2 linked regions of the Arabidopsis thaliana genome follow. The protein of the gene in region 1 purifies or fractionates together with the protein of each later gene. This does not show direct contact. Each region holds a gene or a part of one and is shown on either strand. Other genes may lie near its edges.

What was found.
Region 2: the proteins of AT2G23090 (region 1) and AT4G36430 fractionate together in Arabidopsis thaliana (co-fractionation; one large-scale study listed by BioGRID). This does not show direct contact.

Annotation. Positions count from the first base shown.
Region 1 is NC_003071.7:9,828,861-9,832,520, reverse strand, and holds AT2G23090 (Uncharacterized protein family SERF), read left to right. Parts: upstream 1-2,086; 5' UTR 2,087-2,246; coding exon 2,247-2,322; intron 2,323-2,429; coding exon 2,430-2,470; exon of another isoform or gene 2,471-2,718; intron 2,719-2,744; coding exon 2,745-2,864; 3' UTR 2,865-3,071; downstream 3,072-3,660. Other genes in the region: AT2G23093 (Major facilitator superfamily protein), read right to left, coding at 130-328; CKA3 (Protein kinase superfamily protein), read right to left, coding at 3,178-3,237, 3,375-3,443, 3,515-3,578.
Region 2 is NC_003075.7:17,203,571-17,207,729, forward strand, and holds AT4G36430 (Peroxidase superfamily protein), read right to left. Parts: upstream 2,464-4,159; 5' UTR 2,348-2,463; coding exon 2,123-2,347; intron 2,043-2,122; coding exon 1,851-2,042; intron 1,775-1,850; coding exon 1,609-1,774; intron 1,491-1,608; coding exon 1,078-1,490; 3' UTR 815-1,077; downstream 1-814. Other genes in the region: AT4G36420 (Ribosomal protein L12 family protein), read right to left, coding at 148-687; AT4G36440 (G-protein coupled receptor), read right to left, coding at 3,643-3,789, 3,931-3,984, 4,084-4,150.

The sequences.
Region 1 (3,660 bases):
TTGTAGCAAAGGATCCATTTTGATAGACGAGAAAAGGCAAAAGTTGAAAGCTTTCGAAACCAGAAATTGAAAGCACCATAGATACAGATAAAAATCTGTAGACCCAACTGAAGAAATCTAATGATGTACCTGAAGAGAGAGTGTAGATAGCTAGAAACCATCTCTGGAACCGAGCGAAAGAAGAGGAAATAGAATGATCAAAGCTACCAAAAGTTCTGTTTTTGGCCAAGTAAGGAAACAGAGATATCGATAAAAATGTGGAAACGAAGAAGAAGATGAAGAAGCTTGAGCTTGGTTCCCAAATAAAGGTCTCAATAACGACACCCATCGATCCAAAATTCACCGGTAAATCAGCCGGAGAAAGAAGTAAAAGAACAAACAAAAAAACTCAATTACGTCGGAGAGAATTTGAGATCTTGACTGATGTAAGTGGTGCACAAAAAGAAATGAAGCCCAATATTATTATCAGGCCAAAAGGCCCAATAACTATCCCACCCAAAAAATAGTCTTAAGTTGAAGTAAGCTACACAAAATTTTGTTACAATTTGTTTTTGTATAATATTTCTTGACCATTGACATCGCCTTTCACATTTTTTTGAACATGTTTTTTAGTCTTTTTTTTTTCTTTCTTATATGTGTGTGCAACAAAAAAATTCAAGTTCATAGCAAAGATTTAACGTTGGTTGTTTCTAGATGTTTGAATTCACCACAACGCAACTAATCGCCAAAGATGTATATCAAATATGAAAAATTGATTTTTTAGATATTTGAATCTCTCTTAGATCTTTTTAAGAAAATATTTATCGCTCTTTTAATTACTCTTCGATCCTAAAACATTATCTTGGCCACAACGATTTTGTGAGACCAATGGAAATACTAGAAGATTATGGAGTTCAATTTTCAAGATAATTCGAATTTGGTGCGAAATCCAAATTATCATGATGTTGATGAAAATTATGATTTTGTAGGTTTTTCTTTCAAATACTTAGGAAATTTCAGTAAAATAGATAAGATTTTATGAGAACTAATGGATAATGAGGATTCATGATGTTGCATATTTTTCAAGGTTTAACATGAAATATGCAAGATTCTCAAATCCAGATTTCAAGAAGCCATAATTTTGAGATAAAATTTATAGCATATGCATCAAAACACAATAATAATTTAAAACAGAAATTACAAAATAATCATTTCCAAATTTTGATTTTTTGCCCAATTTGAATTTATGTTAAAATTTCTGAATCATGTTTTGGCCGAAAAGAATATGATGAAATCATATGTTAGATGTCAAAATTACGGAATCATCTAGAAAAAATCAAAATGAATTCTTCTAGAAGTTAACAATAGAAACCACTCATTCGCCGGGTGAAATCAATTGACTGACGAGTTGTCTACTAAACGAGCGTTAGTGTGAGTTAAACCTCTAAAGTTTGATAGCTCGAACTACTATCGAGATTCTTCGGACAATCTTTCTTAGTATCATCTCGATGTTCATTGCTATACCATCATTTGCTCTCTTATACTCAATAGACAAGGTAGTAGTTAGCTCGTGCAATCAATAAAAAGCGGTCATATTTTGTGTGAGTGAGTGACTCATTTTTTTTGAAGAAGATAAATCGTGTAGGTTATAGCTTATAGAGACCTAATAAAATTGACATTTACTAGAGTCTGTCCTAAAACAACAAAAAAATAATTTTCCTTTATTTTTAATTTTTTAATTGTAAATTCTGTTTTGTTTTAGTTTTTTTAGAAGTTAACAATATAAACCACTCACTCCCTGAATAATATTAATCCTATCATTTTGCATGAATGAGTGAGTGTCTCAATTCCTTTGAATAAGATAAACTGTACAGGTTATCAATTAGCAAAAAAGAATCTTTTTCTTGGTTTAGATTGAAAACATATTTGTGTGTTGGTCAACTGATTTATTCAGACCAAAAAAAAAAAAAAAACCTCAGTCGTTTAAACGTTAAAGGTTCTTGTTTTAACGGGCCTTAAATGGATAATAAGTCCGAAGGCCCATTATGTTGAATTATCTAGAATCCAAAATAACTTTAGGTGATTGGTGAGTAGGCGAATTAAATGTAAGTGGACATTACAGAAAAAGAATCAAGTGGCATCGTTTTTTTCTTTCTCATATAAATCTTTTCACATTAGAGTCGGCATAAAAATTCCATTTCGTATTTTTCTCTTCTTCCTCTTCTGAAAAATTAGGGTTTGAGTTCTTCTTCTAATCGATCAGAAAGATGGGTGGAGGAAACGCACAGAAATCAGCCATGGCTCGTGCCAAAAACTTGGAGAAGGCTAAGGCTGCAGGAAAAGGTAACAACCAGATTCAATTTTAGGGGTTTTTAGTCAATTTCAAAGATGGAGATTTTAGCCGTAAAATCGTGTTTCTTAATGATTTTTGTATTTGATCTCTCTTATAGGTAGCCAATTGGAAGCTAACAAGAAAGCTATGTCGATTCAGGTGATCACTTATTACTTTATATCATCGTCTTCGAAATCATCGAAATATTACAATTATTGGTTACTAGAATCAGCTTTTCTTAATAAGAATCCAATTATTATTAGTCCTTTGGAATTGTTTATGTAGTCATGAAACGTAAGTTTAATTGTCTCATGTTGATGCACAATTTCTTGTTGATCCTGAAGCTTTGTGTTAATGAACTTGTTATTTCTTGTTGATCCTGAAGCTTTGTGTTATATTAACTTGTTATTTGTTGATGTGTGTGTTTATATAGTGCAAGGTTTGTATGCAAACATTCATCTGCACGACATCGGAAGTGAAATGCAGGGAGCACGCGGAGGCGAAGCATCCGAAAGCCGATGTTGTCGCTTGTTTCCCTCACCTCAAGAAGTGATGAAAGCTATTATCTCAACTATAAAGGATTCCAATGTATAACGTATGGATCCTCATCTTTCCTATGTTTGTATCAAAGTCTCGACAAATTTTATGGTTTCTATTTCTCTCTACTTGTTTCAACAATAAGTCTCTTGCTATGATTATATAATGAAGCTTTGTGTGGAACCTTTTTTTTTAATATAAGTTGGCTTCTTTTCGCTGTTGATTATGTTTCTATGAAAGTAAAGATTACCACAATTTTGATACAACAAAATCATTACAAAGTTTTTGGTTGAAAAATAGTAGTAAGCATCATCAATCAAGCTTCGGTTTTACTGAGTTCGTAGTCTGCTGCTCTCTGCGGCTTTAACTTGAGCGAAGTATGGATGATCCTATAGATCAATAGAGAAACCAGAGATTATAAGTTTGACTTGATCATCGGGTAAAACAAAATCAAAAGATGTGTGCACATGAAGATCATCGGGTAAAACAAAATCAAAAGATGTGTGCACATGAAGAGGATTTTTACCATGGCTTCTCTTGCGGTTAATCTGTCTTGATGATCATACTGAAGAAGCTTATCGAGAAAATCAATTGCCTAAAGATGTATACAATGAGTCAATACACCCAGAACGAAGCAAAACTATGTTTTTCGAAAAAGAGTAGTACCTCAGGTGAGACCAAATGTTGGTTGTCCGCGTTGATAAACTTGGACCATGGTTTGGGGACATGTCTACAAATAAGAGTGACTTCAGGTTTTAACTCATTGGTATAAAATTAACTGAGCCAGAGTTGAGAACAGCAACAATTTTGAC
Region 2 (4,159 bases), on another chromosome or scaffold:
TCCAATTCTCAAACCTAATAAGCACTAACAATTCAACACCAAGCTCACACAATCTCAAAGCTTGTTTATTCCCATAATCAAACAAACTAAAGCTAGCTAATCCATCTGCTTAGGAGCAATCGAAAGTATAGAGGTACCTAAAAATGGTCACTCCATAGCAACTTTAGCTCCAACAGCCTTCAACTTCTCAATGATCTTCTCTGCTTCTTCCTTACTAACTCCTTTCTTCAACAATGTTGGAGCTTTCTCCACCAAATCTTTCGCTTCCTTCAACCCCAATGCCGTAATCGTTCTCACTTCTTTAATCACCTTTATCTTCGACACTGCATCGTACGCTTGAAGCATCACATCAAACGCAGTCTTTGCTTCCTTCTTCTTCTCTTTCCCTTCTCCGCCGGCGGATTTACTAGCTCCAGATCCCGGTAATGACATCCCTGGCATCATCGCCGCCATCACAGGCAATTCACTGATGTTTAGCTTCTGCCTAAGGATCTCAGTAAGATCCATTGTTTCCAAAAGAGTGAGATTCGATAGCTCATTGACGATTTTGGACACGTTCTCCGATTGCGTCGCCGGAGATGAGTAGCTCCGAGATTGGATCGTGAATAATTGAACGGAACTTGAGCGTGTCTCGGTGGATTTCAAAACTCGTGAGAAGTGAGAGGAGATGATTCGCAGATTCCTCATAGTTTTCACTCTCTATCGAATTGATCTTAGCTTCGTTGAGAATTCATGTCAGTGCATCTGAAGCTGAAATGTGAGAAGAAAGCATAAACCCTAACTAGTGGGATGTGAAATGGGCCTTTATGGGCCTATCAGTTTTAAGATTTAGTGTTTTCTGAATTCATAAATTATTAGGTTCGGTTAGGCCCAATAATAGTTTAAAGTTTATAATTTCAAAATATTTCCTCGTACAAGTTTTATAAATTTCAAACTTATGTCTTAACACAACGCAAATAACACGAAATAAAACTTCCAAATGACAGAATTGAAAAAAACAAACAAAACACACTCCAAAGTAAAAGTAAATGTCTCACATTTGTTCCACAAGATATAAGAAGAGTTTTCTTGTTTCAATCAAGAGTTAATCTTCCTGCAATTCTTCCTGATTTCGCCACTAGAACCTGTCAAGGGAGAGATATTTCCCATCTTGATCATCGATTCCGCAAATTGCTCAAAAAACTCTCCTTGATCTTCTGCATACTTCTTCACAAGCTCTCTCGATTTCTCGTTACTGCTGAACAGAACTTGGTCCGAGTTCAACAACCCCTTGTTCTCTATCAAGTTCTTGAAGTAGCTGTTGTCGAAGCTCGCGGCGCTGATGATGTCTAGCACCGAGAGAATCTGGTCCCCACCGGATTTTGGACACCGTTGGCGCAAGTTAGCAGCGAAGGATTGTTCCAATGTCATGTCTGGACTGCCGTTTCCGGACTGGTTGTACAACCTCTGTCTGAAACTCGTGCATCTCGAGAATCCGATTGTGTGACTACCTGAGATAACATTTGAGAAGTGTGGTGGCTTGAGAAGCAAGTAATGTATAATGGATTTTTTTTAATTGTGTTCCATGTGTGTGAAGCAAGAAACTGTGATAGAGTGACGAAAGCTTACCGGAGAGAGCGACAAGGTCAGTGATATCAAGTCCTTGACGGTTAAACTTAGATAGAATGGTCTGGAAAGTGTTGTTTGGTGCAGGGATGTTGTTGTTCGATTGACTCAAGCTTGCACTTCTTGAATCTCTTCTTCCCAATGGAACAACCCAACTTGGTCCACCGGTCTAAACCAAAAACCAACCGAGTTAGCTGATGTTTCAGTTTTGGTTCGAGAAAATAGAGATTGTGGAGGAAACTTACAAGAACAGAGGAGTCTCTAGCGGCTAGGGTAAGAACATCAGCGCAAGAAACAGTTCCAGGGCATTGTTTCTCCAGTTCAGCTTTGATTTGGTCAACTACGTCAAACCCACGAGCTGATTTGCTGTTAGGGTTTGAGTTTTTCTCAGTCGCTACCCTTCCACTGCTGTCTAGAAGCAAAGAGCCATCACAACCCTACATTTCACAGTTACCTTGTTTAGCAAGTAAACTTAAAACAACATAAAATGTTGAAACGTAAAAGAAATTAACTAAACCTGAACGAAACAGTCGTGGAAATGAAGTCTCAACAAGGAAGCAGCCATACGTGTCTCTCTAGCAACAGCTTTAGCTACAACTGATCTCACGATCTCATTGACTTGTGGGCATGAATGGGCGTAATAACCCGGGAAAAGTTTGCCTCCATAGCTCTTGTCGCAGAGACAGAGAGGGACAAAGCAGATGAGAGAAAGAAGAAGGAGAAAGCTCGTGAGTCTTGCCATTACTTTCAACAAGAAGATGAGGAAATGAGAAGACTTTGTGGTGAGTGATATGAAATAAGAGGGGAAGAAGAACGTATTTATAGGAAAAGACTTGGAAGAATAAGAAACGGAGTTGGTATTAGCTAAATTGGGATGAAGATAAATAATCAAGGGAAATGCAAACAATTAAAAATTGTAAAAACTTATTGGAGAAAAAGAAGATTAAAAGAGACTAATGCTTGGGTTTGGTACCCAGCATTGCATGCTAAGTTTGACTAATAAACCTTTTTTGGTTTAATTAACTAAAATTAATTTGACTTTGGAGACTTGGAGAGGTAAAAGCAAAGCAAACTGAGTTTTTAATATTTAGACTTTATATTTTTATCCATATTTTAACGACTCATAACAATAATTTGAAGAATAAGCTTCTTTTTCCCTAGGAATATATAAATATTGGAATTTTCTAAACATAAAACCATACAGATATATGTGTTCAATATTGATGTTTAATTTGATATAATTTCTGACTTTCTGACTTCTTCAAAGAAAGATGGAGAGTAACTAAACCACCTCTTACGGTCGACAATCATGATCACTAATAGTAATTATTTTTCCTACTAGAAATGAAAAATCAGTTTTCTTGTCAATTTAGATCTTAACATGATAATATATCTCAAGATCAGAATCGTAGGGAATAGGGATGTTTTAATCAACTTGGTTTGATCTAGAAGTATCGATATTTTTGTTTTATTTTCGGAAGGTGAGAGTAAGAGACTAACTTTCACTGATAATCCTTTTGTAGAAGTAAGATAAAAAGCGAGGTAACCAAGTATGAATAGAATAAACAGATCATTTTTCAAGAAAGTAATAACCAATATAAAGCCTAGATTAAACTAAATTCTAAAAGAGGAATGCGAAAAAACAATATTACTTTTTGCAAAAGGACTTGGTTAATAATATCCACAAAACCTTAGACAAAGTCCAAGTCTTTTTTTTGTCTTAGTGAGAAAGGCAAGAGAGTAGGAAGAGATTCTAACCACTCCCTTGACAAAAATATGTTTCAATCTTTGTTGACTTTATAACGATACTCTTGTTCTTGTAACCTAAGCAAAGAAAGAACTCTTGTTTGCTTTGTCTTTTTCTATCATAGCACATGAATCTGGTGAAAACAACATTCTCACGGTGAAGCTATTAACTTTTTGACCTCTTTCTAGAAGGTAGAAAATAAACATACAAAGCAAAATCCAGAAATCGCAGATCACAAGCGTGCCATACCATGGCTTGAAACAGTACCTCTTGTGAGGCACTTGACAAAATTAGATCGCACCATATGTTCTTTCACTTGGTCTCTGTGTTGTTGTCGCTTGAGTAGAAGATGCGGAAGAGCGGTCCCATGAGACTTCATTGGCAAAAGCATTGTTGATGTCTTCAGTTCTTGAGTAGCTTTGTCCACTTCCACTCACCTGTTTATCAAGACCAAAATCAATTAGCTTACATAGCATTTGTCTCTTGAGAGATCCATAAATTGTAACCAAAGACCACAGTGAGCTTTCTCTTAGATTTTGCATAAATGGAATCCTTTTGAGTTTTCTTGTAATACTTACAGTTTCTAGTAAGCCCGATAGAAGTGACATCCCCGGCAATGCATCAGTTCCACGCTGCATCCATACGAGTACATCAGTGATTGAGTGTGTGTATATCACGTGAGAGAATAATTAGAGAATGGAAGTGGAATTGTAGAAAGATATGAAGATTACCACACGCTCTACTCTTGTTTTATAAATAAAGCCCCCACAGCAGAAAAGTGCAGATGCAACGAGGAATCTGATCAGA